Coturnix japonica: one gene and its partners. The protein of the gene in region 3 interacts with the protein of the main gene of each other region in a pairwise test. Links are inferred from orthologs where the notes say so. Each region holds a gene or a part of one and is shown on either strand. Other genes may lie near its edges. The genes, in order: CIB1, CEP70, NRIP1, RORB and ESR2.

Evidence for each region.
Region 1: the proteins of NRIP1 (region 3) and CIB1 interact in a two-hybrid assay, tested with the Homo sapiens proteins (2 studies listed by BioGRID and IntAct). The link is inferred for Coturnix japonica from reciprocal best matches to the Homo sapiens genes NRIP1 and CIB1.
Region 2: the proteins of NRIP1 (region 3) and CEP70 interact in binary tests that used the Homo sapiens proteins (3 or more experiments, as listed by UniProt). The link is inferred for Coturnix japonica from reciprocal best matches to the Homo sapiens genes NRIP1 and CEP70.
Region 4: the proteins of NRIP1 (region 3) and RORB interact in a two-hybrid assay, tested with the Homo sapiens proteins (2 studies listed by BioGRID). The link is inferred for Coturnix japonica from reciprocal best matches to the Homo sapiens genes NRIP1 and RORB.
Region 5: the proteins of NRIP1 (region 3) and ESR2 interact in a two-hybrid assay, tested with the Homo sapiens proteins (2 studies listed by BioGRID, with this or other methods). The link is inferred for Coturnix japonica from reciprocal best matches to the Homo sapiens genes NRIP1 and ESR2.

What each region holds. Positions count from the first base shown.
Region 1 is NC_029525.1:18,187,331-18,193,659, forward strand, and holds CIB1 (calcium and integrin-binding protein 1), read right to left. Parts: upstream 3,926-6,329; 5' UTR 3,846-3,925; coding exon 3,795-3,845; intron 3,586-3,794; coding exon 3,551-3,585; intron 3,213-3,550; coding exon 3,110-3,212; intron 2,754-3,109; coding exon 2,600-2,753; intron 2,379-2,599; coding exon 2,260-2,378; intron 2,183-2,259; coding exon 2,094-2,182; intron 1,854-2,093; coding exon of another isoform or gene 1,832-1,853; exon of another isoform or gene 1,498-1,831; coding exon 1,425-1,497; 3' UTR 1,187-1,424; downstream 1-1,186. Other genes in the region: GDPGP1 (GDP-D-glucose phosphorylase 1), read left to right, coding at 4,164-5,255; tubulin polyglutamylase TTLL6, read left to right, coding at 5,367-5,515, 5,959-5,999. UniProt on the Homo sapiens protein: Calcium-binding protein that plays a role in the regulation of numerous cellular processes, such as cell differentiation, cell division, cell proliferation, cell migration, thrombosis, angiogenesis, cardiac hypertrophy and apoptosis.
Region 2 is NC_029522.1:18,777,859-18,783,540, reverse strand, and holds the end of CEP70 (centrosomal protein of 70 kDa), read left to right. Parts: intron 1-36; coding exon 37-207; intron 208-382; coding exon 383-529; intron 530-982; coding exon 983-1,151; intron 1,152-1,937; coding exon 1,938-2,052; intron 2,053-2,942; coding exon 2,943-3,055; intron 3,056-3,447; coding exon 3,448-3,509; 3' UTR 3,510-3,654; downstream 3,655-5,682. Other genes in the region: ESYT3 (extended synaptotagmin-3), read right to left, coding at 4,897-4,933.
Region 3 is NC_029516.1:88,407,641-88,413,447, reverse strand, and holds part of NRIP1 (nuclear receptor-interacting protein 1), read left to right. Parts: intron 1-1,780; 5' UTR 1,781-2,137; coding exon 2,138-5,605; 3' UTR 5,606-5,807. UniProt on the Homo sapiens protein: Modulates transcriptional activation by steroid receptors such as NR3C1, NR3C2 and ESR1. Also modulates transcriptional repression by nuclear hormone receptors.
Region 4 is NC_029547.1:32,939,921-32,945,727, reverse strand, and holds part of RORB (nuclear receptor ROR-beta), read right to left. Parts: intron 2,349-5,807; coding exon 2,207-2,348; intron 1-2,206. UniProt on the Homo sapiens protein: Nuclear receptor that binds DNA as a monomer to ROR response elements (RORE) containing a single core motif half-site 5'-AGGTCA-3' preceded by a short A-T-rich sequence.
Region 5 is NC_029520.1:48,234,968-48,240,774, reverse strand, and holds part of ESR2 (estrogen receptor beta), read right to left. Parts: intron 4,820-5,807; coding exon 4,681-4,819; intron 2,501-4,680; coding exon 2,367-2,500; intron 798-2,366; coding exon 623-797; intron 1-622.

The DNA of each region.
Region 1 (6,329 bases), on a different chromosome or scaffold from region 3:
TGAATTGTGTCCTGGGGAGGGAGCGGACAGCGGTGCTCACCCTGTGCCGGGATGGAGCTCCGTGCTGCGTATCTCATGTCCCCAACGTGCGTGTGCAGAAACGTCTGTGGTTTTTACCTAAAGTCCAGGTGTTTCCTTTGTACATGTGTGTGCTGCTGCGCCTGCAAGTGTGGGACCAGGGCCCCTTCCCAGAGCTGGGCACATCCCGTTGGCTGGCTCCTGTGGGCCAGGCATGCACGGCCGTGTGCGGGGTGGGTGTGATGGTGCATGGGGCTGTGTGTGTGGCTGTGCCAGCATGCAGATCCAGAACAGCATCCCTGCGACCCCAGCGTAGGGTTTGCAGTGCTCTGCTGCTCTGAGGCCCCGCTTGAATGATGTAGAGAAGCAGCTCTAGAGCACAGTGCTGCTTATCTGCCTCGTGCCTGGGAAGCAGCAAGCTCTGCACCAAGGCAGCGTGCTGGGGCAGGATGCCGTGGGACCCGCACTGCCTCGCTCCTGCCAGGACAGTGTTCCCCACTTCCTGCCCAGCCTGTTCTGGGACATCAAAAAAGCCACCGGAGGCGTCGGCTGGTGCCGTGCCAGCAGACATGGCCCCGCAGGCTGCAGCAGGCAGATAAGCATCATCACTGCAGGGCAGCGAGCTGGAAGGGCCTGCACTGCTGGGAGCAAGCAGCCGGGACGTGAGAAACAGCTGCAAGCTGGGGCTGGGGATCCAGCAGCACCGGGCACTGCAGCCATCTCAGCATGGTGCTGTTAGGGAATGCTGCGGGCTCCCTGCACAGAGCGTTCCCAGATGGCAGCCAGCCAGCACCAGGCCCGCTGGATGAACAGACACAAAGGGCCCTTGCGCTGCCCACAGCAAAGGTACAGCTTGCTTGCCCTGGATTTCCTTTTGTGCCTCCTGTTAGAGAGCAGAGCTCTTTGTGCAGTGCCTGCTAAGCACGCTGGGAACGGCCTCTGGTTCTCCCAAGGAGGGGGGGATCATGCAGCAAGCTGCTTCCCCAGCAGGACTAGGAGCTGCCTCCCTGCTGAACTGGGACCCCGTTCCCAAGAGCTGCAGCTGGCTCAGGGCAGGGGGCTGGCGGGGGGCCACATCCCCAGCACCCTCTTGGCAGTTGATGCTGCAGCGCTCACACCCCGCTCCTCCCCCCCGCGCGAGACAAAGGCCACTGGCAGCAGGACCAGGTTGGGGGTGAAACCAGAGCCCTTTATTTGTCCTCTCCAGCGCACAAAGGAAGGGGGCCAGGCCCTGCCTGCTCCAGGCAAAGCACTGGCTGAGCATGAGCCTAAGGCAGAGAGGAAAGAACTGGAAAGTGAGAACAGACCCTGAGTGTATTGGTGCTGGAGCAAGGAGCACAGCCCCCACGCCCCAGGGCAGCAAAGGGACAGCACTGCTGGGATGGCACATCCAAAGTTCAATTGGGTTATTGCTTGGAGGAACTGCTCCCCAGGGTGCAGGAAAGCCCCGTGGAAGAGCAGCAGAAGGCACATATGGTACTGTGGGTGGTGAGAGGGGCTGTGCTCGATGCAGTGCGGCATCTCTGTGCCTGCCCTGACACACCGCAGAGCTGTGCTTGTGTGGGGTGAAAATGTGCTGCTGGGACAGCCAAGCTGCTGCCTGCGGTGGAGCCTCACGGGGCCGTTTGGACACCTGTAACTGAGCCCACCAGGCACTGGGGGAGCAGAGTCCTGCCCTAGAGCACAGTGCGGCACTGCCAGGCTGGGGAGGAGCAGGGCCTTGGCTGCTCTCCTCAGAAGAAGAGGGAACATCTGAGATAACAAAGAGACGCGGCAGCTGGAGAAGCAGATCTGCAGGAGAGCCACAGGGCCCTCACAGGACAATCTTGAAGGAGCTGTAAGAGACACGACATGTTCTGCACCTCCTTGCTGCATGAGAAGTGGTTTGTGAGCAACCAGCACTCTGTGGATGTGCTGTGCTCCTGCATAGGTGAGTACAGTGCAGGAGGAAGTTCCTGTGGGAACTTCTAAGGGGTGGCCTTGCCTTGCTGCTCTGGTAAGTGCTGCCTCAAAGCCAGCACAGCAGCAGGGTGGGCTGACCCCTGGGGCCCCTTGAGCTGCTGGAAGCCACGTACCTGACAAAGTCTGGGGAGCGGGAGATGACGTGCTGGAACTCAGAGAGGTTGATGGTCCCATCCTTGTCTATGTCAGACTCCTCCAGGACCTGCAGGACAGGCAGTGAGCAGTGAGCTCACCAGGGCTGGGACCATGCAGCGCTCCCTGCCCAGCTCGGGTCCTCACATTACGGATGAGCTGCTCCATCTCAGTGTTACTCAGCCGTGACTCCTCGCCTTGCCCTGTCAGGCAGTTCACCAGCTTCTCCAGGTCCTTTCTGTCCAGGACCCCATCATCGTCAAAGTCTTTGGGCAGAAGAAAGTACCTTTCTGTGGGGCCCCCGTGACTCAGGTCACAGGCACCCACGCTGGGAGGGGGCTGGGACAACACGTGGGCACGGCAGCTCCAAGTACAGAGGGTGCCCCCAAAGCTGCCCCGTGGGCACAATGAAGGCACTGCCAGCCCTTGTCGCCTGTCCCCCGCCATTGGGTGGGATCCCAGGACACCACATCACACCCAGGGTTACCAAAGATGCGGAAGGCGTAGTGGGATTTGATATCTGAGGTGGCAGCATCACTGAAGACGCTCAGCATGTCGAGGAAGTCTTCGAAGGACATGCTGTCATCCCTGTCCAGGGACGTGGAGAACACGTGGCAGATCCGGTGCTGGAAGGGGTTTGCCTGCAGAGATGGGGAGGGCTCAGTGCAGGGCGGGCACTGACCCACGAGGAGCTGAGCAGAGCTGAGCTCTGATCTCGGCCCAGCACAGCCCTGCCATCACACGGGGCTGTGCCATCACACGGGGCTGTGCCACCACACGGGGCTGTGCCATCACACGGGGCTGTGCCACCCACGGGGCTGTGCCATCACACGGGGCTGTGCCATCACACGGGGCTGTGCCACCACACGGGGCTGTGTGGCTGCATTGCACAGGGCCGAGGAAGCAATCCCCGGTGCTGCACGGTGAGCACGGAGCGCTCCCAGCACGGTTTGTGCTCAGCAGGTGATCCTGCCCAGCCCCCCTCCAGGTACCGTACCCGCAGCTCCGGCAGCGTCAGGATCCGGCTCTTGGGAACGCGCACGGAGCGGGCGTTGTCCCTCTGCTCCCTGGGCAGCAGCTCACTGAACCTCTTGTAGGCACTTGAGGTGAAAACAAGGGCTGCTCTGTGCGGGAGCGGGCGGCCCCCGGCAGCACCGGCAGGTCCGGAGCCTCTGTCTCTGTCTCTGTCTGAGGTGAAAACAAGGGCTGCTCTGTGCGGGAGCGGGCGGCCCCCGGCAGCACCGGCAGGTCCGGAGCCTCTGTCTCTGTCTCTGTCTCTGTCTCTGTCTCTGTCTCTGTCTCTCTCGGACCGGGAGCCGCACCCGCGCACTTCGCACCCCGGGGTCACGGAAACGGCCCGTCCCGGCGCTGCCCGCCCACCCCCCAACGGGGAGCAGCTGCCAGCGCTGAGCCCCCCCCGCCAAGCCCCGGCACTTACAGCAGGATCTCCTGCTTGTTCAGGAACGTCAGCTCCTGCGGGGAGAGCGCGGTCAGACGGGGGGACCCCGAGGGGAGCTGCTCCGCCCCGGACTCCTCCCGTTCCCCGGGTCCCACCGATCCGGGAGCTGCCCCAGACACGGGACCGCAGATTCCCCATCCCTCGGTCACCCCCCTCGGACCTCCGACAACGGGGCTCCCCCCAACCTGGGACTCCAGCCCCAATACCTCGTACCCCCCCACACCTGGTACTCCCCCAGCGCCTCCCGTGGCAGCAAACTGCTGGAGCCCCCCATGTCGCCGGCGCCGCTTCCGCCCCGCACGTCACTCCGCCGCTCCCGTGGCAACGTCCCGCCCCGGGGTGGGAACACGCTGCACGCAGCGCCGCCCCCGGCCCCGCGCGGCACCGCTGGGAGCGGAGGTGGGTGGTGTGACGGGGTGTAATGGGGTGTAATGGGGTGTAATGGGGTGTAATGGGGTGGGGGATCGTCGGGACCCGGGGCCGGGGCACAGCGAGCGCGGCGGGACGGACGCTGGGGGCGGAGGGCGGCGCTGGGGGCGGCGGTCAAGTCGTGCACGCGTTCCGTTTTGTCAGGTCCCAGGCGGCACCGGGCATGGCAGTGCGGGACAGCGGGCACCGGGACGGGCTCGGAGCCGAGGAGTTCGTGTACCACGAGGATGAGTTCATCCTGGACGGCGTGGCGTGGCCGAGCACGGCGCTGTCCCGCTTCGACCGGGCGCTGCTGGAGGCCTGGCAGGAGCGCGAGGAGCGGGGCCTGTTCCGGTACCGGCTGCGGGAGCCGCCCACCCGCGTGCTGCCCGGCCCCATGCGCCTGCTGGCCCAGCTCAACGTGCAGCGCGCCACGTTGCGCCGCCGGCCGCAGGAGGTTCGCAGCGTGACGGAGCCGTTCAGCGCCCGGCACTTCAACTTCACGCAGATCCAGCCCGGGGAGCTGCTGCTGCGGCTGCGCCGGGGAACATCGACACACGGAGACCGAGCGGCCCCGGCCGAGCTGCTGGTGGCGATTAACGTCAGCCCGCTGCTGCGCGGCCACGTGCTGCTGCTGCCGGAGCCGGGGCTGTTCCTGCCGCAGCGCCTCACCCCGGAGCTGCTGCTGGCGGGGCTGCAGCTCGTGCTGCTCAGCGCCCGGCCCGGCTTCCGCGTGGGCTTCAACAGCCTGGGCGCCTCGGCGTCCGTCAACCACCTGCACCTGCACGGCCTGGACCTGCCGCACCCGCTGCTGGTGGAGTCGGCTCCGGCCGAGCCGCTCCGTGACCGTCTCCATGTGCTGTGGCGGGTCCCGGCCCCGGCGCTGCTGTTCTACACCCCGGGCGCGGGGCTGGACGCGCTGGACGCTCTGGCCCGTGACGCGTGTCGGGTGTCGGAGCGGCTGCTGGCGCTGGGCCTGGCCTACAACGTGTTCGTGACGCGGGGCGCCCCGCCGGACGGCTCGGCCGGGCCCGGTCCCGGTTCGGGGCTGCGGCTGCTGCTGTGGCCCCGCAGGCCGAACTTCGAGCCCGAGGCGGATGACGCGGTGCTGGCCGTGGCGCTGTGTGAGCTGGCCGGGTTCCTCCCGCTGCGCTCGGCCGCGGCCTTCGAGCGACTGAGCGAGGCCGAAGCGCTGCGCGCCATCCGACAGCCCCTGCTGCCGGAACCGGAAATGCGCCGCCTCGCCGCCGACCTGGCGCGGCTGCTGGAGGACTGAGCGCCGCTCTAGCCGACCAATGGCGAACGCGGACACGTGACCGGCCCGGCGCCGCTCTAGCCGGCCGGGCCGAGCTCTCTATGGTCGAGCGGAGACCGCTGCCTCGTCGCCATGGGAACGGCGGCGGGCTCGAGCGGCGCCATGGAGGCCGGGGGCGGCGGGCGGGGGGCGGCAGCTCGGAGCGGATCCGCTGCCCCCGGGATGGAGCCCAGAGCTGCCGCCTGCAGCCCCAGAGCGCGGAAGAAACGCAAGAAGTGCAGGCGAGTGCGGCGGGGGGGGCGGCCCGTGTCCGTCCGTGTCCGTCCGTGTATCCGCCCGCGTGTGCCCGGTGCGGGCCGTGCCGCACATAAAGCCCGGCCGTGTGCGCAGCGCCGTCATGTGTCTGTTGTGGGTCCGGGGCCTCGTGCCCGGGGGTGGCCGGGACTGTAACCAACGGAACCGGGATCCGACGGGGCTCAGAGCACGAGGGGGATGGAAATAAATAACACCGAGGGTGGAAATAACCCCGAGGGTGGGGCAGCCCCCAGAGCACGGACACGGGCTCGGGACCCACTTGGCACGTGGCCCATGGCAGTGGGTCACACTGGGCAGTGACACTGCGGGGTTTGGGTAACACGAGTGTGGCACGAGGCAGCTGTTCGTGTCCGCTCCCCTTTGTCGCCGTCTGGTCTCACTGAGCAGCTCTTGTGTCTTTCAATTCCAGCGCCCCATCCATTAACCTGACCAGCTGCAGGTACGAGAGCGGTAAGTCGCAGGATGCGTCGCGTCCCTTTGGATCGAGCCGTGCAGGCGGCTGCTCAGCCAGCAAGGAGCGCTGCATTTCTGCTGCAGAGTCACTTGTGTGTTACGTGTTTGTAAGTGACTTGAATCCCTGTGAACATTCTACACTTTGGGCTGAGGAGCTTCATGCTTTAAAGAGACCCAAACTGTGCAGCACTGCGAGCCCTCATCACCCTGTACATCTGTATGACCCACATTCCTGCTAAAATTGGTGAGAAGAGTTTTGCCAGAGATGGTTACAATGCACGACCTGTGCTTAGGGAAATGGAAAGCTACCATCAGTTCAAGCTGAAG
Region 2 (5,682 bases), on a different chromosome or scaffold from region 3:
AGTTTGAGTAATAACTTTTTCTATCTATTATTGAAGGTGCTGTCCAATATCGACTCTATTATACGAAGTCCAAGAGCTCCTCCATTAATATACAGGCGCAGCAAAGGGCCAGTGCAAAATTATATTAAAGAGAATGGACAGGAATGTGGATTTGAGCACCTCCCACTCACTATAGAAATGTGGGCAGACCAGCTGGTGGCCCTAAAGGTAACGCACTCTCACACTTAGCTTTGTATCCCTCTTTTAATCTGTTGAAAACCTCACGGTGCTTCTTTATCCAGTGTTCTTGTGCTTTAGTTTGTATTGTTGTCTGACCTGGTGTTAAATGGACAAGATATTTAAGCAGTTACTACAATGAGCTGTCCCCCCTCTGTTTTAAAAGGATTTGCACAGGTCACTGAGAAAACTGTCTCTGGAATTGGTACCCTGGCACACTGCGGATCCACAAGATAACACAGAATCCATACGGGTTCAAGACCTTCAGTTCATAGTAGATGCAGTTTTAGAAGAAATAGAAAACAAGGAAAAGGTAATTCTTCACACGATTAGACTTCTGCATTTCAAAGCCTTTTGGGGCTTAAGAAATAGCTGTGGGAAGAGGTCCAATTCTCCAAGATTACTTTCACATAATGGATAAATTCACCCCGGGGAAGACTGCTTTAATCAAGGTCATTTGACCAACCATGAATTTGCCTTACCCTGTAGTGCTGGGTATTATCCTGTTCCATCTTTTTCTCAGTCAGCATTCAGAATACCTAAACAGACTTAATAAACATCAGAAAACAAAGCTTCCAAAAGAATATTGTTTTCATAAGAGTATTTTTGGCTTGCTGGATATCTCTCTTGAGATTTAAGAATATTCAAAATGCCTCAATTTAATAAGGGAAGTTACACCTGTTTTAATTTGTGGACTAGTTTTAAGAACATCTCGTGGTTAAAAGAAGCAACAACTTAGTAAAGTTACCCTTTCTGCTTCCTGCAGAACAGCCAGACACCATCCTTACCAACACTGTATGCAATAGTCTCTCACTTCCAGAAGCTGTTTGATGTGAATTCTCTGAATGGCATTTACCCACGAATGAATGAGGTGTACACAAAACTTGGGGAACTGACCAATGCTATGAGAAATCTCCATGAGCTCCTGGAACTAGGTAAAGACTCATCACCTACCACTTGTTCAGGCTATTTCCAAAGGAAAAGCTTTGTTTTATGAGCACTTACTTACTAATTCTCCTTTATCAATTGAAACATAAGGTTTTTTGTTTGTTTTAAATTGTTTTGGAATAACAAACTTTGCTCTAGATTTCTTCTCAGTAACTCATTCCAGGGTAAGCATGTTCAGTCCTTAAGAACACCCCTTTACAATCCTAAATGTTTACTTGTTCTTTTAAGTATTGAATGTCAAGAACTAAGTGCCACCAGTAGTCACTTCCAGGTGCCTATTCATTCTCTTCTGGTTTTGCACTTCTGAAGAACAGCAGCTGCTAATCTTCCCTGAGTTCATGGGTTTAGAGGCTTGGCTGTGCTGCAGGGTGTACAGCCAGAGGGCAAGGCTCCTAAACTACTGAAGCCTTCTGAAGTCTCATTCAAAGAGGGAAGCAGACTTCCTGCCTGCCACCACCAACAGGAAATGAAGAAGCTTCTCATCCCCTTGTAATTACAAAGCAATGGAGTTCAGTGGACACCTTCTCACAATTAGTTCATCTGAAACTGAGTGAGGAAAGGAAAAGAACCTGGTATTTTTACCTTTCATCATAGTAGCCAAAGCAGGTTAAAACAAGCAAACAGAGCAAGTTCTTGCTACTAACAAAATATCAGGAAACAGTTCCCTCTATGATACATGAAAGTTCAATAGAATCTGGGCACCTGCAAGAACTGAATTATGTCTTCTTTTCCTGTTATTACTCTTACCAGAAACATGAAGTTGTGTTTTCCAGATAGTTCAGCTCCACCCACCATGGTGGTGGATACAGTTGGGAAACTGTGTGACATAATTAACGAGAATGTGACTGAACAACTACGGCGGCTCCTGGGGACACAAGACATCCACAGGTATTTAGTTCTGTTCCACTGGCAACAGTTCTGCAAACAGAAATCTTATGAACTGACAGAGTTGCCTAAAATTGATACTGGAGGAGACTTCTGTCCTTTGCTACAGTGCTGTGACAGTAAAGGATTTACTACTATCCTACATGGAACAAGTCTTGAACACTTTCTAAAGGGTATTTCTGGTAAATAGAAAAAAATAAGGTTCCCTTAGCACTACCTTGTTGATTTGCATGGATACAGTGATCAAAAAAGCCTCTTAAGCTTATGTTTCATAAGGAGACATAGCAAGTGCTGTATGTTGGTGGGGATGCGAAACTACTTCAAGGTTGCGACTGTAATATTGAAATGTATTAGCTGCTGAGAGAACGTACACCTCAAGCTTCCTGAAAATCTTTCGAGAGCTGGACAAATCATCAACAAATGAGAACACAGAGGTGGTAGCAAGTTGTAAGAGCTTGCATTCAGAATGTGCTGTACAAGTGTACAAAGAGATTAACTGCAGCAGTAAATTTGTAACAGGCAAAGTGAACAACGGTGACACCATCAACCTTTCAGTGCTCCATGCAGTTTTAACTATAGACAAGCTGCTTATAATGTTCTTGCCTCCACCTCTAGCTCTTATACTACCTGGGTTGCTGATATATTTAGCATATACAGGCTGCTGCTCCAGACCAAAAATTACACAGCACTGTATAAGGAGGAAAATATATTGGGCAGAAACAGTGAAATCAAAAATAATCTGACTTTTAACAATTGTTGGCTTCAGGTTTCAGTACATGAGGATGCGTTTTTGGTGCAGGTGTATTTGTATATACTAAGTAACAGTAGTTTCAGAAAGCAGTGACACTGTATGGCAAAAAAGCCAAGAAAACGAACTTAATATGTTCTTATAGTTTTGCAGTAACGGTCTTACTTTCAAATCTCAGTATCATCAATAAGCTAGAAGAACATGAATGCTTCTTTCCACCGTTTCAAGCCCTCATTCAAGATTTGCTCTCTCTTCTAGGTGAGTAACATTTCCATGCTGTAATTATCTCCATGGCAGAGCTCCCTCCCAGGCTGTTAAATAGCTAACACACTTTGTTTACTCCTGGTGTGCAAAAAAACACAAGGAAATTGTGAGAAAAGGTGCTAAGCCTTACCTTGCTCTGCTAAGAAAGCTACTGAAATAATGAAGTTTTCATTGAAAAATGGGGTCATTTACATTCAACCATAAAACTTATAAGCTAAAATAACGTTTTTCTTCCCCCAAAAGCATGAAGAGGTTTGAGGAGTTTATTCTCTGCAGTAGTTTTTTTGCTCACTGGCCGTATTTCTAACACTTAAGCTAGAATTATGATTGAACTTTAAAGTGTTTTATATACAACTCATACAATTCTGCTTTTCATTCTGTTTCAGAGATCAATAACCTGGATGATATTTTACCTACTGTACGAAAGCTGAAATTGGTAGCTAGTTAAGGGATAGTTTGATCTATCCTGGGAAGACTTAACCTGTGAGGCAGCCTTGTTGGTTCACATGTCATTACAGCTACCTCTAACCTCTGTTACTAATGAACAGTTTCAGACTTTTTAATATAAATAAAAGTTTGGCTTTGCCACTTCATTCTTTTAGTTTCTCTGCATTCTTACACTGACCACGAAACAAGAAAAATAACCACAATAACCTGTTCTGTCCTGGAGAGAGGACCAATACATACCGTACTGATATAGGAAACTGAAGCCAACACAAAAGCAAAGACCACAAAGGCACTTACCTTTCTGAATGTAGCTCATCAGCAGGTATGAGATGACGTTGCTCAGAGTGCCCTATAGATGTAATACTTTCATCATTACCTTGGTCGTCTTGAGAGCCTATTTTAAAATGCTGTTTAGATCTTCAGCTAGGTTTATTTTTTTTTTGGTTATGGATTGAAACACACCACATTAATGTAATCTAGGCTGAACACATTTTAAGCCTACATCAGAACATGGTTTACAGCTTTTTGCCTAGAAGGGATTTGAAGTTACCACGCTTATATTCTACCATCACTTTTAGAAGGGCATAGATAAAGTTCCTTAAGCAAGACATGTCAGAGTTTATTGTAAACAAACAAGTACACCAAGCTTCCAAAAATATTTTGGTATATTTCGCTCCAATATTAATAAAGCTTAGTCCAAAACTCTGCTGTTCCTCAGGCAGAATGATTTACTATCAAGGCTTATGAGATGCTGAAATGTTGTAACAAAGAACAGAACATGTTAAGGCATTACAAACTAAAACCTTAATGACATCCTGGCAAACGAATCTCCCTGCTTTTGGAAGCTCATCATATGCAGACCTGCAGCCACAATCTGCTTAAATGCTTTTCAGAAGCAGAATATCAATGTCTTTGTTTCTCAAGAACTGCTATTAGTCTTACAGTTGATTTGAATGAGTCCTGTAGCCTTACAGATGAAAGTCGCTGTTTAAAAATGGATTCTTTTAGAAGAGTAATGCTTTCAGATATCTTTAAAACAACACAAATAGGCTCTTAGGGAAACGAAACTGAGAAGAAAGTGATCACACATAGCTGGCCATCTAAAAATATCTCCAGGTCCAACACTTCCTTAAGAGCGCATTCATATGTAAGGATTCTTGGGGAGGAGATGCACCATCAGGAATAAATGATTTGTTATCTAGAGAGAAATTATTTCCCCAGTTTTACTTCACTGAGAACTCCTGTCAGTAGGATCATTCCGTGCACACGTCCTGAGCAGCAGATGGCTTCAAGTTTGCAGTGAATGTTTCAAAACACTTCCATTAGAAAAGAGGTATATACAGTCAATACAAAGTTTAAAGTTAGTAACTTATGTACACGAGAAGAAATCAATTTTTCTTGCGTCTACTTCTTGTCAGCTCGTACCTGCAAGACAGATACAGGAAGTAGTTTAAGACTTGGTTTAAAGAAGAGCTTCAAGTATCACAACAGAGAACTTGGGCTGCTTTATTGCTTTTTTATTGTGCTTTGTAGGCAGGAGGATGGTGAAGGAGGCTTTAGAGATGGCCTCAAACTTCAGCCCTTTACCAGGAACTCTGGATGAGTCATTTTTCTCCTGCTGCCATAATTGCTATATACTTCCATGAGACACACAGAAGCTGGGCATGGGGAACTTGGTTTCCCTACACTGCTGACCACACTAGTGGGAAGCTGCTGTGCTACACTCACTGCATTCCTCCACCTCCTTCACTGAAGGATGAAGGAAGAATGACTGCCATTAACCCGAGACTGGGAAGGGGAAACAAAAAGAAATGCTTCTTAATCTTTGCCTCAGACCAATACTTAAGGTTGACATCTGAACCACAATGAACGTACAAGCACAACTGTGAGTGGTTTATTAAAATAGCTTCTAAAAATGCTTTGTAATTAACTGTTTATCATATGTATATATTGCTGATCAGAGTATTCATTTAGTTAAGATCTTTATCCAAGTTATTTGTTGCAAATTTACTTTAATAGACATGATTCTTTTATTTATGTAACCCAGTGGTTTTTATGTAATTTAAAATATGCTGAAGACAGAATAATTGACAAGGAGGCCTCTTATTAAAACCGTTTCACAGGATAGGTATCACGCCATTAACCAGATTAACATAAAGCTTAGATAAAACTAC
Region 3 (5,807 bases):
AATTATTCCTGTCTAAGAACAGCGTGCTGTGAGCTTTTGAAATGTGAAAATGTATCTGCAGATAAACTGTTTGTTTTTGGTAGCTGGAGAACTTTATTTTCTGGATAAAATTGTATTTCCAAATATTTGAGAAAATAGGCTTAGCTGTTTAGGCATTGCACTTGTTGGATGCTTGACGTATGCATGAGAAGCATCACGTATGAACCATATTTTTTTTCGAGGACTTGCTGTCTGTTATATTTAAACCATTTGGGATTGAACCTTTTTGAAAGTCAAAGCAGAGACACGGGATTTTGAAGGAACAGTGAGTTCATAGGTATTTTGTGAGAGAACTTCTGACTCCCAAGTATGAGCTGCCAACTTTCAATTCATTGTTTAGGTACACGGGTATACTCATTTACACTACAGTGTGTTGCTGGTGTTTTAGTTCTCTGTGTTTTTTTATCTGTTTACTTGCTTGTTTGAATAGTTTGTGGAACTTTCCTAAATGACTTGAAGTCTAGTAAGAACATCTTCATACAGGAGTGTATATAAGATGTTAGCATTGGGGCTGTGTAACTGTGGTTCTAATTCTAAACTTATTTCAGATCTGATATTTTTCTAACTTCTAGTTGCCTGTAGCTTTTGAATTAAAAAAAAAAAAAAAGCCTCTGAGAAATCAATCATAAAGCATTCGTTCACTTTCAAGATGCATGGCTTTCACCTTTATATGTCCTTTTGAAAACTTGTGTTTACGGATTTAAGTATGCTTTTAGTCTGTGAAAGAAAATTGCAGAGCTAGGTATGTTGAAGGGCACTTAGCTGTGTTCATATTGAGTATTTGTGCCTATGTAGTACTGAAAGAGAAAAGAAGTAGGTGTGTGTGGTATAATGATCTCAGTACTGAACTGTTAACTCTGTGAACTGTTCATGCTGTCGTTGACTAGTGTAAAACTAAGAGATACATCTAGTGTAAGAGCCACTGCGTTTTTTAAAACTACACGTTACAGCATACTGCCTCATCCAAGTAAGTATTGAGTAGAGGTGATCTACAAGAATGACTTCAAAAACAAAAAGACTTCAAAGAAGGGCCTGCTTTTTCACCACTTTACATCGAATACGTGGAAAGAATGTACAAGTAAATATCTTTCAATGAAGTTCTAGCAGGAATGTGTTAATAATTGCCTTTTCCTCCCTTCCTATTGCCTGACTCTTCAAATTACTTATGGTAGTTGGGAGTTGGAAGAACAGAAATGTGCTCGTATGTGTTGCTGCTTATTCAGGTGTTTGACAAATTCAACATGAACCTGAACGTTGACTTTTAGATGCATTTTTTTCCCTCATTAATTTTCTTTCAGAGTGATGCTGTTCATGCCTTGTGTGTTCACATGCTAACGTAAAAATATTGTTGGAACTGTGAGGTAGAATCCAGAGTAAATTTTTCTGAGCAATATTTAGATTTTTCTTTCATGGTTACTAGTTTTTAGTTGGAGTTTTATAGCAGAGAGATTCAGTGATCACTTCTAGTAGCTACTCTTAGGATAGTTCACTTTAGCTTAGATTTTACATAATGCTTTCTGTCTCAGAGTGATTTTCACAACGTTCTTCAGATTAGGTGCTGTAGACTCATTGCATTATTCAATCATTAATTTCTTCTAGAGTGTGATTAATGCTTGTACATCTTGGATCTCTCTAGAACTGTATGTGGAAAAAACATCTCTTATGCAGTTTATTTAGATTTTACCCAAATTCTTTTTCTTGACCACTGTTTTTTGGTTTTCTTTTTTTTTCCCCCACTTAGGTATTCTGTGTTCTTGATGGAGATGGAAAAAGATGAAAACCAAACTAACTTCCTGGAGAAAGCTGAAGAAAGCAAATATGTAATAGAACTTTACTGCCTTAGAAGTGTGTTTTGAGTGCTCTTCCTCGACATCCGTCGTAAATATTCTGTATCTCAACACAGGGACATGATTGGTTTTCAGTCAAGATACACTGGAAGAAACCTGCCTGGAATGTGACTGTGTTGCTTCTGAAAGTTTGTGAGAACACGCTATAGACATCTATCTATTATTTATTAACTCTGCATCTCGATTCAGCTGCAGCAAACTGGTCTTTGAAGTGAATAGAAACAGAGCCCTTTTGGATACTTTTATTGAACATGACTCATGGAGAAGAGCTTGGCTCTGAGATGCACCAGGATTCTGTTGTTCTAACTTACCTAGAAGGATTACTAATGCATCAAGCGGCAGGAGGCTCAGGTACTACAGTTGACAAAAAGTCTGCTGGGCATAGTGGAGAGGATCAAAACTTTAATATTTCTGGAAATATATTTCCCAGCTGTCAAAGTAATGGTCCAGTTCTTAACACAAGTACATATCAGGGATCTGGCATGTTGCACCTCAAAAAAGCAAGGCTGTTGCAGTCTTCTGAAGATTGGAATGCAGCGAAGAGAAGGCGGTTGTCTGATTCCATTGTGGATTTAGACGGAAAAAAGGAAGCTTTGTTAGCTGGCATGGTTGAAAATGTGCCTAAAGGCAAACAGGATAGCACATTACTTGCCTCTTTGCTTCAGTCATTCAGCTCTAGGCTTCAGAGTGTTGCTCTGTCACAGCAGATTAGACAGAGCCTTAAGGAGCAAGGCTATTCCCTTAGCCATGATTCTTTACAGGTGGAGAAAGATTTACGGTGCTATGGTGTTGCATCCAGTCACCTGAAGACTCTATTGAAGAAGAGCAAAGCAAAGGATCAGAAGTTGGACAACAGCTTGCCTGATATAACAAAGAACCTGCCCAAAGAGAGGTTTATAGAATCTCCTCATGCAGTGCAGAGCGGACCTAAAGTAGTAAATGAACCACTGTCATGTGCTGCAAGATTACAAGCTGTGGCAAGCATGGTAGAGAAACGATCTAGTCCTGCTGCTTCACCAAAGCCCAGTGTAGCATGCAGCCAACTAGCTTTACTACTTTCAAGTGAAGCTCACTTGCAGCAGTACTCCAGGGAACATGCTTTAAAAGCACAAAATGCAAATCAAATAGCAAGTGAGAGACTTGCAGCTATGGCCAGATTACAAGAAAGTGCTCAAAAAGATATTGGCCAGTTCAGTTTAGCAAAAGGAATGACAAGCCATCTCAATGGTCAAGCAGGATCATCAACCAAAATGGTATCTAGCAAAAGCAATATGGCACCGTTTCAGAGTTCGGTGGGAATCACACATTCACCACCCAAAAATGTTGGATTCAAAAGTACCTTGGAAAGGAATAATGTGAAAACCTCTCCCAGCAACAGTTTGCTCTTACATCTCCTGAAAAGCCAGAATACCACCAAACAATTAAAAGGCCATGAACAGAGTGAGAGAGCCAGCATTTTTGAAGAGAGTAGCACACCAACAACTATTGATGAGTATTCAGACAACAATCCTAGTTTTACAGATGACAGCAGCGATGACGAAAGTTCCCATTCTAACTGTCTTCCTATAGACTTATCTTTTAAACAGAGGACAGACAAACCAGACACAGGTCCACCGGCGTCACTGGATAACCTGACTCAGTCCTTGCTTCATAGCTGGGATCCAAAAGTTTCCTGTCCGGAGAGCAAGGAGGACAAAGACACTCCAAAAGCATCTAAGCTGAACCCCCATCAAAAAGTAACACTACTTCAGCTGTTACTTGGGCATAAGAGTGAAGAAAAGGTAGACAAAAGTAATGAGCCTCAGGGACCACACAGTGCTGCTGATGTGGCAAAATTCACTGTACAAACTGGTAAAAGGACTCCTGTTACTGACAGTCCCAATGCAAATCGAATGACTCCACTAAACACTCCACCTTTGCTTGCTTCTGCAAAAGCAGACTCTCCTATAAATCTCTCTCACCCATCATTAGCCATCAAGCGTAGCTCACCACCATATGCCTGCAGCATCCAGCCAGACAGGCTGGTGAATCCTGCATCTAAACATTTGATAGACCTTTCAAAAAGCAAAGAAATTCAAGGAGCTAAGCTGAGCCGAAACGACAGTCCACAAAACTCGTCAGCTTTCAGTGCCAGCAAGCTGTTGCAGAATCTTGCTCAGTGTGGTATGCAGACTTCCATGTCAAGTGAAGAACAAAGATCCGGCAAACATCTGCTGGTGGGGAACACAGATAAACCCGTAGGCTTGATTGATAGATTGAACAGCCCTCTGCTTACAAATAAATTAAGTACTCACGAAGAAAATAACAAAATATTAAGTTGTCATTCTGTACCCACTGAACAAGGACTTCCAGGTTCGGAAATAGAAAATCTCCTTGAAAGGCGAACTGTCCTTCAGCTGCTTCTGGGAACTCCCAATAAAGGTAAAAATGAAAAGAAAGAGAGGGTGCTTTTAAGAGATGAAAGTTCTCAGGAACACACAGATAAGGCTTTGAATGAGCAAATATTGACAGTGAAAATAAAAACTGAACCGTCTGAAGAATCAAATGTCCCTTATAATTCAAATGCACAACAAATAAGAGAGTGCAAGGGTAACAAATTTCAAGGATTTGTTCATTCGCTACAGAGAAACACAGCTGCTTCTCCAGCATCTGAGGAGATGAAGTCTGAGCCTCTTTCACCTCAAGATTTTTCTTTTTCCAAAAATGGCCTGCTAAGTAGATTGCTGAGACAGAATCAGGATAGTTACCCTGCAGATGAGGTGGACAGAAGTCATCAAAACAATGAGCTGGCACACCTGGAATCAAAGAGTCTTTGCACAGTACCGAAGAAAAGGAAGCTTCATGCTGAGCCTTTGGAAAGTCCGTTAAAAAAGATGAAAACTAATGTGTCTCATGCTGCAAACAATCACGTTTCTCCTACAGAGGCACTGTATGGGCCTTTGCTAAACCAGCAAGAACTGAAATTTGGCAGAAGTGATTCAGAATTTAAATATGCTGTAAGTCATGGTTCAAATAATGAAAGTGATAATAGGAGTTGGTCTAGAGATAGTAAAGGCTTTAACGTGTTGAAACAGCTGCTTCTCTCAGAAAACTGTGAGAGAGACCTGTCGCAACATAGGAATAACTTACTAACTGAGAGCAAGAAAAAAGGAAACAAAAGCAACTCAACAATTAATAAACCCGAATTCAGCATTTCTTCAGTAAATGCGTTAATGGGAAGTCCTGTGCAACAGAGCAATTGCGTAGATCACAGAACATTTCAGTATCCAGTAAAAAGTCCTGCCAGTTCCCCCTTCCCTGAACATTTGGGGAGACTTGAACCTGACCAGTTTAGTGTGTGCCCCATGCCCAGTGAGAAAGGTCCCATTAGATGGGTGATCACAGGTATGGACAAGAACGATTATGAAAAAGACTCTCCGAGACTGACCAAAACCAATCCAATCCTGTACTACATGTTACAGAAAGGCGGCAACTCTGTTAGTAGCCAAGAAGCACATGACAAAGAAATATGGAATGAACCATCGTTTACTGATAGTTCGACTCGTGTTACAATCAAAGAGGAGTTAACATCTGACGGAGAGCTTAAAACTCCTTTTAGTAACTTAAGAAGCCCTTACAACAGCCATGTGGGAAATAAGACCTCACATCAACATGGTGTGAACGGAGAAGTGCACGGACTTCTGGAAAAAGTGCTAACAATCAAAAAAGAGCCAGAATAAACTACAGCCTCACCAAGGAGTTTACAATCTGTGCTTTTGAGTGTTTGTTTAAAAAAAAAAAAAAAGAAAAAAGAAAAAAAGAAAAAGAAAAAAACAAGCATTAAAAAAAAAAAGAGTACGAACTTGACTACTGTATAAATTGAGCATGATTTTAGAAAAGCATGGTCTAACTGAAACATGTTTTCATTTGATAAACTTTTTA
Region 4 (5,807 bases), on a different chromosome or scaffold from region 3:
ATTTACATAATCTCCATGCACAAAATTCATGCATTCCTTCTAATGAGAAGGGCAGGAAAACATCAGAATGCAAACTACTGTCCCCAGGAATAGGGCTCACTACACTGAGATTGAAATTTTCGAAAATGACGGTCTGATTGCTAAGGAACTACAAGGAGTAAACATAGCCTATATACACAGTGGTCATTGATAATTATCTGCTCTTTATTTTCTCTCTCTCTCTTTAAATTCTGGCTTTTTACTGGCCTAGATATTGAGATGTCAGAGAACAGGAAGCTATTAATCATGCTTTAAGACAAATGAGATCCGTCAATTAGGATACATTCAGCAGAATTTATCAGAGAACAGATAGGAGGACATTTCTTTGGAAATACTTATTTTACATATTATGAGGACTATTTTCAAATGCTACTTCCCGTCCACCTGTAATGGAGATCATCACTCTTATTAGTGGCTTGGTTTCCATTTTGGCTCCATTTCAGTTATAGACCTCCAGAAGATTCTGAGCCTACAGATGCTCATAAAATACATATATATATTTATTTTTTTTAATAGCAAAAAATACCCTAACAGTAACAATGAAACACAGAGAAAGAGAACTCTATTAGAAGGAAATGGCATAAAATTCAGGAGATGGTAGCCTTTTCAATTTATTTTTCTTGTTACCAGTACCAGCTTACTTGCAGACCTCCGCACAGACTGAGTTTACTTCACATAGACACTGGCTGCTCTGCAACCAGCCCACTGTGCATTGCACACTGTTATGGACAATATATAATGACTAGATTTTGAGAAGTACAACTGCGTGTTTTCTTCAAATGTAGGGTCTCCGTAAAAACAAATACCCACAGTTTACTCTCATTATGTATTCATTAATTGGATTCTCCAGCTGCTGTCAATTAGCATCCTGCCTCTGCATGATAAAAATGAATCTGTTACATGGCTGAAAGGTAAAATTCACATCCAGTTTTTCTGTCAAAAAAGATCCATGCAGGCTATTTTAAACTTGCAAGAACTCTCCATATGATTAAGTATAAACACTCTCACATCCACAATGAGAGAAGAAAGAGATGCCAACAAAAGAATCCCTCTTTGTACACAGCAGTCCCTGCATTATAGGTTGGGAAGACAATGTCATGTGTTAAATACTTCTGTGATATCTCAAATACTTGGACGGTATTACTTTTATTGGGAAAGTACATGCTGTTAAATTACTGAAATTTTCCTACAGTGCTCTCCAGGAAGAAGCAATAGCTATGGTGTGAAAGTATACTGCATGCTAGACCCAAAAGGACTCCATGAATTAAAGGTGAGACAGCAGGGTCCTCTCAGTCTGCTGAGACAGATGAGCAAGTTGTTTCAGTGAGACATGAAACATAGTGAGGTAGGAAAAGAACTATTATAGATATAAAGCAAAATTATAAAGTCTGAACTATCTTATGAAATAGGTCTTAAAGTAACTTCATCAGTGCCTGTTAATTCCAAAGAACAAGTTTTATGAACAAATGCTGTCACGTAATCAAAGCTAATATAGCCTTACTGAAGCAAATGTAAGCTGCCTTCAAGGACAGAACATTCTCTTCTCGTACTCACTGACCATTTCAAATGTGACAGTGAGCTGGACAGCCATTGCATTAGCAATGAAATGTTTCTCTTGTAGATCCAGGCATGGACAGGAGGCAGTGCACCAATTAAATGCTTTTTTTCACAAGGCAAAATGCTTGGTCAAGTGTTCTGAATAAAATAAACAGCTGAAAAACCTTAATATTATCAAGGTGTACTCTTTTTTTTAAACTGCCTATTCACAGTCACAGATCTTTAGAGATCACAAGGAAAGGGATGCTTCCTCACACCAGTATTGTGGTGTGTATAACCAGTATAACCAATGTTGTTAATATAAAAAGTTGTCTAAACTGGAATACAAATCCTTCTCTCCATAGATAACTTTCGTGATTTTGAGCAGAACAATGCAGTTCCTATCCAACTATTTCCCTTCTAACCTAACATTGTTTTCCATTTTGCTATCTTCCCACCCTCTTCATGAAAATAGCTTCCACTGTTAAGATCTGTGTCTCACAGTGTGTACGTTACAAAGCAAGGAGCTTCTCCTCTCTCTTTTTCTAGAAATCTACAGGGAGTTTAAGTAAGTCAGCAGAGAAGAAGAATTTCAAATGTTTAGGCATAAAGCAGGAATCTGACTCCTTACCATCTCTAGACATTCCCAGGGCAAGACATTTCTGCAGTCGGCAGTGTTGGCAACGATTTCTGTTGGTTCTGTCAATTAAACAGTTTCTCTGCCTTGGGCAGGAGTAGGAGGCATTGTTCTGCTGACTCCTCCGAAAGAATCCCTAGGGGCGACAAGGAAGAGAGAAGGAGTATTACCATGTGGGTATGTGCACACACACATGCACACACACACATGCACACATACACAGCCATGCAAGCTCTCATGTAGCATAATGTTATTTTTTGCTAGGACTTTGCAGATGCACTAGCCTTGTACAGTGAAATTAAAGAGCATTTACTGCTCATAAGGAGGATTTGTAATTGTTCAGTAAAGAATCTAACACTACTTTGCTAAAGGACAAACAATAAAGAGTTACAGAATATATTCCTATTATGTAATAACTACCATGGATCATCTAATTCTTGCACCTCACAGATGAAAAGCTTGTCAGCATTGGTAAACAGATAACATTAAAGTACTTTTTCTGACTATTTTCCATCTATTGAAAGAAACTTCTAACATCCGGCACTGGCTATACATAGGATTAGAAGCTGAAGTCTGCTGTTAAATTTAATCTGGCAAATGTTGATCTGATCTGGAGAGCCCATACACTTTGGGAGTGAAAAGTAATTCAAATTCAAACATTACAAAAGCACTAGGATTTAATGGCTGTATCAGGTACATCTGACACACAAAGGAGAAAGCAACACCTTTAGACACTACCATGAGAAAGTACAGATATTTTCCATATCAATGGAATATAACATTAACCATTTAATCTATCAAAAATAGTTCAACACTCTATATCCTGGAGGGTTTGTCTGGCCTGTTGCTGGCCTATTTGCTAAATTTTTGAGGGTGAGAACATGTAATGATTTATGAGCTCCTAAACACTACAAACAGCACTAAGAGGTACTATTTCTGTAGAAATGAAATGAAGTGGCAGAAATTAAAAGAAAGATGAAACCAGGGAGAAAGCATTTTATAATTCTCTTTTCTTTCCTGTAAAATAAAGCATGAGAGGATCAGTGAGTTGAGAGTGAGGGAGAAAAAACAAAGAAAATAATTTAATTGGCAAACTTAGCAGCTTTAGAAGAAAGTAATTGCATGGCTGTTTGGTGGGAGAGATGAAGGATAGCACAACCGCTGCAAGAAACTATGAAGGGAAAGCATCATTACTGTACTTAAACTAGTCACTGGCAGAAGTGACACCAAAGTGCTTGTGACTTTCCGTGTTGGTTTGTAAACAGCTCTCAGTGGAGTCAGAAAAGAAGCGCTGACTGCACTCATCAGGCAAAACCATTGTTATCTTCGTTCAGGCTGACAGAAGATACTAATAAGGGATGGGATTTACAACTCCTGTGGGTTTCTGGGGGAAGGAGTGGGAAAACAACAGGGTGATGTTGTCACAGGGCTTGATTTCCATGCTACAGGTAGCACCTGTAATCCCTCTTCAGTCCCTGAAAATCAAATTAGGGTGGCACGAGATGTCAGTAAGAGTGCAATAAGCATGATGTTCCACTGAAGAGACAGCAGTGATAGTTCCTGAAATCGATGATCCCAAAGAAGCTTAATTCATCTGGCCCATGCTGGCTTTATCAGTGATTACACTGTGCAGTGACTATTAAATTAAGGTTTATGATTTGCATGGTTAAGAGCATGGATATCCTTTAGGGAAGCTCTCAGGAAAAGTTCATTGTGGACTTACCTGATCCTAGTTGACCAAACATTTTTTTAGCAGTGGAGATGAGCTTAATGTTACTGCTAGATGGATGACAATTGCAGATATTTCTTATCTGTTTGTTGAACCTTACAGCCAATTTTGTTTTTGACGTGAGGAACATTTTCTGCTTTAGATTTTAGCAGCTCTTATGTGATATGGATTCGAGAGAACAAATGAGTTAAATTATGTTAAAATAACCCACACAACCACCTAGCATCAACTATGCCTTATCACATAGTACTGTTTTTATCTATTAAGGCTGATCTCCTCTCACAAGAATTTGTTTGTATTTTTTTCCCCACTAACTTCGATCTCTTACAAGAATTTGTTTTTTTCAGTCACTGCTCCTCTTAGGGAAAAATCAAGGATTACATAATGAAGTTAATCTACAGCAGGTAATTTATTTCTCCAAGGAGACTTTTGTGCTCTGTTCTTTCAGCAAAGATCTAAGTGCTTTCTTACTGAGAAACCTTTCATTTCATGTTGGAAGATTTTTACATAACATTAGTTATATTTACTGGGAATAATGCTGTTCTGGAGAAGCGGGACACAAGTCATTACTGAGGAGTTAAAGGACATACAGAAAGACAAGTCTTCCAGTGTTCTCAGAACCGACTAGAAGTCTTTCTGCATCTTAAACAGTTCACTTTATCCATCACTGGCAGTCTGAGAAGGGAATGGCCTCTTAAACTGTCCTCTAGATCCTTGCTGCGCTGTGGATTACAAGAGACCTCTCACCAAAAGGGGTCACAGAGACACTGGGATGGAAACATGTCTTTCAGTTTTGTTCTTTCCTTGGTGACTGCTGGCAGAGCCACCATTTTCTTTAGTGGGCCCAGCACACTGCTCAGCCTATGCAGGTGTGCAGTATGTAACTGCTGTAGCATTTACAATGCCCCTTAAGCTCTTACGATATGCATTTGCAGTGGCAGAACTAATGCATAGACAGAGAGTGAAAGGACAGAGAAAGTCTGTAGCATTGCCAGCGGGAGTGCAATCCTCCAATGCCATTCCCCAAAACGCTGAGGCCCTCTGGTGCTTGGCTTAATGTGCGCGGTCTTGTGAAAGCCCTTCTGGCCTACTTTGTAATACTCTTCCTCTTAATTAGTTCAGATTTCTAATGCATTCAGACAAAAGGAGCTAGAAATGACAAGTTATTAGTATATGGGATGAACAAAGATTTATTTAACTGCTGGGCAAAGAGGAGCAGTGTTGCACTACCTGAGACAGTGCTTAAATGAAGAGAGAGCTCACGCAGAGGGAGATGGCCTCCACTGGGCCTGATGTGAAGGCTGGACATCTTTTTTTCACAAGAAGCTTGCAAAACAGCATTAGACTAATTGATGCGATACTGCAAAACTGGCACAAAACTCATAGATTTTAAACTGCTCTAATTGGAAGAAAAGCTCTTTATCTCAATAAGTGGTCCCCACATAGAGCTAAGGGTATTGTCTCTCCTTGAGGCACACACAAGGGTCAGAATTAAGCCTGATCACATCTACAGGAGACTGTACCCCTCAGTGCACTGTGGAAGCTGGATATAGAGTCAAGATGTTCCTTTTCTGCTCCAAATGTTTTTCTCCTGTAACTTTTATTCAAATATTAAAGTATTAGATCAATTAGTACAGTCCTGTTTCATGTAATTGTTGTAAGAAAATGCTTATTTCCAGTCCAGTCTCACAAAAAGACAGTGTCACAGGGTAAGCTTTTCATTTAACACCCTTAAAGTTTCTGAAAGAAATCAGATCTTTGAGAATATATTCCTTCTTAACACACTGACACTAAATGCATTGTTTTGTGAATGAGTTTATGGATGAGTTTGTAAATGTTTATAGACTTTTCAGTTGTTCTGAAATA
Region 5 (5,807 bases), on a different chromosome or scaffold from region 3:
AAGAGACATAACTGCTGCAGTCTGTGGGATCACCTACTGCTAACAGCAGTAACAACATCCTAATGCACTCAGGCTGTGATCTACCATCTAGAGAACCAAGATTTGTGCTTTCTGACCCAAACTGTCATCAGAAAATAATCCAGATGTATCACTCCTATTGAGATGAAAGAGAAAGCTTCTTTGGTGCCATAGACATGGGAGACCCATGTGCTGCAGTTGTAAATGAAAGGGGAATTCACACCACATTAACAACCTACGTCTCCCAACTGGCTGAGAGGGAAGACCATATGATAGTGGCTAACTTCAAGCAGTTGGCTTCCTCTCTGCATGTCCAGTGTTAGATCTTGCAGATAACTACAGGCTTTAAGAATCCTCTTTTCTTCTGTCATACAGCCAGCTATGATGACACTTTGCTGACTGAGATCTCTGCAGTTGTATCACTACCATATCACTATGCCAGAGTGTGGGATCATTGCCTATTTAGCCATACTAGGAAGGATAGTCTTACAAAACAGAGATGAAGAGCATCCCTCAGGGGCACTGTGGAGTTCTAGACTGACTCTGTCACTCTAAGAAGCAAACACAAACAACTGGTATATCTCTCACATCCTGTAAGATTTACCTTGCATGTCTGACATGGGAGAGCAGCATCAACAGGTTGGCCAGGCGAGTTGTTTGCTGCTGGGAAGGGATCCCACTCTTTGCAATAACCCACACCAGAGCATCTGTGACCACATTGAGCAGGTGGTGCAGCTTCCTGTTGCTTTCGGGTTCTTCTGCTGACAAGGGAAACATGCCTAGCAGAGAAGACAAAGAAATCCTGCTTGTGAGGCACAAAAAACTACGACCATGGGTCATCTTCCAATGTAATAATTCACAGGATAAGAAAAGTTGTATTTCCTGACACACATTCACACAGCCCAACACAATGCAAACAGCACTGCATGTAACACACCAAGCTTCAGCTTGTATTTCTTCATCCAAATTGGATTTCTGCATCGATTGCATAGTGATTGACTCTCCCAAATCCTCCCAAGACAACACATTGAACATAGACTCCACAGTCAGACTGAGCTCTGAGCTCTCTGTCTGTGGGGAAGCAGACATGTTCTCCATTCTCCAGGGCTTTTTCCTTTGAATCACATTACACCATACATTTTAGTTTCGTTCATGCTGAAAAGAAACCCCTTTCTTCTCCAAGTAAATCCAAGGGAAGGAGGAGAGCAGCTATTCTTACTGACCGCTGTAGGCTCCCAACAGCTCACCATGGTGCCACAGGACAGCACCTGCCTACCATGAGACCCCTCAGAAGTCAGCAAAAGCAGAAGAAAGGGGAGTGGGGAGGAGAAAGAAGAAACTGCCACTAGGAAAGCCTGGAAACTCTCGCTAGTATTCTTGATAGAGAATCCCAAAGATGCTTATGGATGGAGAAAGCTCCAGAACACCCCGAAAAACAGAAGTAACAGATAAACCTTGCTAAGGAAGGAGAGCCTTGAGAGGAGAAGGGTTTTTTTGAGAGGTGAAGCTTTTAAGAAAAGCCACGGCTAATGAGCATTTCTTTCCCCCTTTGGCTAAATAAAAATAAATGGAAGAGTTTTGCTGTCAGTTGAAATAATGGCTTCTGTTCTACAAACAAAGTCAGAAAACAGCTGGACTATTCCCCTTCAGAAACCTTGCTGAGAGTTACACAGAAGCTTCATCTGAAAACAATAGATGTAAACAGTATCATTATTCTACATACAGATGGTTTTCGGTTGTTTTTTCTTGTTTTTCTTATGCCCTTACAAAACGTCCTGGGGAATAGAAGGATTTTACCATAGGCTGTAGAAAGCTGCAAAGCAAGCTTGCCGTCCTCACATTCATCTTGCAGAACTGTTAAGTTATTTCTAGCACTTCTACTAATTATTTATCACTAAATAGAAATATTTCAGCACAATTGACTGCCACTCAGTTGACTAAATAATGTTACTAGAGCAAAGAACAGGCTTGTATAGGCATGAAGCAGCATCATCCATGACCAGGATCCATGGAACTCTGAGCTGCACTCCTGACTGATCATTGGGGTTTAGATTTGAAAAGGACATACCCACCACCTGGGTCACAAACCCCAATTTGTGAGCAGGTTTTCAGATTTGGGTTTATTCATGCAGTTCTTTAGAGCAGGATAGAGACCCTAAATCCAAACAATATAGCTTAGAAGTTTCTTGAGCAAAACCCTCTTATGATTTCATGAAGTCCCTTTTTAGCGTTCCCTTTGAATTCTGCCTTATCTCATTTGATATTTCTGTCATTTTTAGACACTGATTACCCAGCCGCAGTCGAAATAAGTATAATTTGGTGAGTGTCAGAGGCAATTGTGTACTCACTGGAATTGAGGAGGATCATTGCCTTGACACACAGATACTCCTTGTGCTGCAGTTTCAGCTCTCGGAACCTCGAGGTCATGGCCAGGAGCATATCAAAGATTTCCAAAATTCCCTCTACGCATTTCCCCTCGTCCCTATGGAAACATTTAAAATGTTACCAAAAAAGTAGAATTAAGGAACTCTGACTCAGCCAGATAAAAGCCAAAGCAAAAAGAATGCTGCAAGAAGCCTATCTGTCTGGTCTGTGGGAGCATTCAAAAGCTTCTATCAGGAAATCTAAATGGAAAATTACAATGGCATAAGAGGTCAGCACCTCTAAGAAACTAATTTTCTCTGTAAAGCGTTTAAAGTGCTTACAGGATTGACCACAGGTAAGTATGGACATATTTCTGTAAAGAGGCTTTAACCTCACAACCAGCATAATTTCTGATAATCAGCTTTAAACTACATTCTACAGGGCAGAGCATGGCACCTCCTTGAATCATTTTCCATAGTGCTTTCACAAGGAATTCATGCCACAACCTATGACATCCCTGTTTGTACCTGACAGAGGACTAAGGTATTAATAATTAAGAAAACCTGACTAAACTAAGTTTCTCAGAACAATAAGATAATTCCTACAACCATCCAAACCACCTGTTGGAGGTGTTCACTTTTGAATAGCTTTGGATTTTGTCTGGCTGGTTTTGTTTGTTTATGGTTGCAAGTGAATGGTGATTGTAACCTCCTCCATTTTGGATATTAGAAACAGGAACGTTTCTAGTTCTGAGGATGAACTGAAAAAATACTTACACCTTAAGCCATTCCAATAGGCTTAAAATGAAAACTGAGGTAATTTTAAACCACTTAAGTTAGTGCTTCAGATTTTTTGTTAAAGGTACTGGAATTACAAAGCTGTAAAGCTCTGTGACGCCGTATTCAAAGAGATGCTTCTTACACCACCTGTAAGCCAAGAGTTTTGCCTGCTGTGTTATTAGGGACACACCTAAGGACAGTGGTGCATGAGCACTCCTTGCTACCAGAGGAAGGTGATGAGTGCTCAGGCTGAGGCAGGCAACACCACCCAGGAGCTGAAGGTATGGCCTGCAGAAAGGCAGCTGCCTCATTACTGCATGGCTTCTCTTGGCAAAGAAATTCAAGTTTTGGAGGAGGACCAGCAGCTGGCAGAATCAAGACAAAGGCACAAGCGTCAGAGAAGTACGTCTACAAAGACTGTGGGGGGTAATGGAGCTAGAGTTCACATGAGCGTATCATAGAAGTAATATAGGGTGCACAGATGCTTGCTAGCTCCCACTCTGTTAAGTCTTATGGAGTTGAAGGAATTTATCAAGCCATCTCCATTCAGCTCATATTAGCTCCTGAGGAACTGAACATATCATACATCTTCAGCAATTTCTTATCATTGCATTGAATAACCTAGCGTGCCCTCACACTGAATTTTATATAAGAAAACCACAATTTACTTCAAATCCTATGTAATTCAAATTTATTTCTCTTACTAACCCATTTTACTTTCTGAATCTATGAAGGCAGTGATTATTTAGCTCAAGCCCAGATTGGTGCAGATATGAATTTCCCCAGGTTGAAAAGGTTAGGAGAGACTTTGCTCCTTGCCAAGACAGCAGATTCTCTCTCTGACTTTTTACCAACAAGAAACCCAAATCAAATTGTTCTAGCTTGCTGTGGAAAAACATCTTTACTAATCCATATTCTTCCCTATTGGTACATAGCTATGGATAAATAAGTTTTAAACTTTCAAACACTCTACTTAAGCTTGAAGAAAACTTTTGGTATTTAACACCAAATTACTTTTTAAAATCCCTTTTGGCTAGTGCTACGAAGATCATTAATGTAAATATGAAACTACAGGAAAAAATCTGAGATAAACTACTCTAAGTAATTAAAACAGAGTCTGAAACTTTCTCTACTCCTTTTTCTTCTTTATTTTTTTAAGGGTTAGGGAGAAAATCTATTGGCCAATGGAAGCTGTTTGATAACAGAGCAGATTGTGTTGATGTCTACAGTTTTAGCATCTGGAGCCCTGGGCCAAAAGCATCAAAACCTACAAAAACAGTGAAAAATACAGAGAAACTCAACACTGTTATGTGGTAGTGGAATTCAGGAACTCTCAAGTTCAAAAGCACTATTTATGCTCAGCGTGTGAATTCTCAAGATAGAACTGTTAAAATACAAGTGAATTGTATTGTTAAATTAAACGTTCACATCATCTCCAATATTTCATCCCCTCCTTTCTCCATTCATCTCCCTCCAAACACACTCACTGAAGGGCTCTCAAGAAGCTGATTTCTCTTACCTGTCCAGTACAAGGTCCGGTGCGAAAATTAATTTCCCAGGATGGTCGATCGATCTCCACATTAAACCAATCATTAAAACTTCCAGCCAGCAGCTTTCCAACAGCCTGACTTGGTCATAGAGACTGAGATCAATGAAGCCTGAAATGATAAAAACAGCGTCAAATAAATCAACTTGTTTACATCTCTGTTTTTATAAAAATGTCTTGAATATACAAAAAAAAAAAAAAAAGAAGAAAAAAAGAAATGTGGGTTGTGAAGAAAGATGGAAAAAGAGACACTGAAGTCCAAAGTATGCATTGCTGCCATCTCAGTTGGGAACATAAATAGCTGTGGTTATCATTGACACACGTTCCACAAAACATTTGAAAGGATAGAACCATGGAACCCAACTTAGAGTTGGAAGAGACTTCTAAGGGCCATCTAGTCCTACTGCCCTGCAACAAACAGTGACACCACAGCTCAATCAGGTTGCCCAGGGCCTTCCCCAGCCTTGCCTTGAAAGTGTTCAGGGAAAATAAATAAATCAGAACAGTGCTGAAGTGCAATCAGCACATAGGTGAATGCAGACCCGCCTTACATGTGGGCACCTCTTTAGATGACAGTCCCGGAGACTTCTTGAAGGTACCAAGGACCCACTCTGGAAACTCACATCTATTAAAGATTTATCACATTGTATTGTGGAGGACTCCTATGAAAACAGACCATTATTTTCCCACAACATATAAGGCTGCTGTTTGCAGGGTTGTCACTTGGTGTTTTGTTTTGATCTCTGGAGGCAGCTATGTTTTTGGGTTTGTTCAGTACCTATGAAATAAGCCACATCATGGTCACCTTGTGCTGTCACCTTATTTCTAAATGCCACTTGTTGATCAAAGCAAGGAAAAGACAAGGGTAGTTTGTGATGGTAGTAATGTCTGCATCACCTCCACATGCAGCACCCCAGAAGCAAGAACAGAATTGATGCAATATGACATAAGCCCTTTTCTAGCATTTAGTTCTCTCTGGAACTTCCAGCAAGTGCCAGATAATGTAGCAACACAGCCAGAAGAGGGAAAAAGTTGTTGCTTGCCCCTTCTTCTGCAATAACATGCAAGAAGAAAAGCCTTGGAGAAGGAGTTAAACTCCA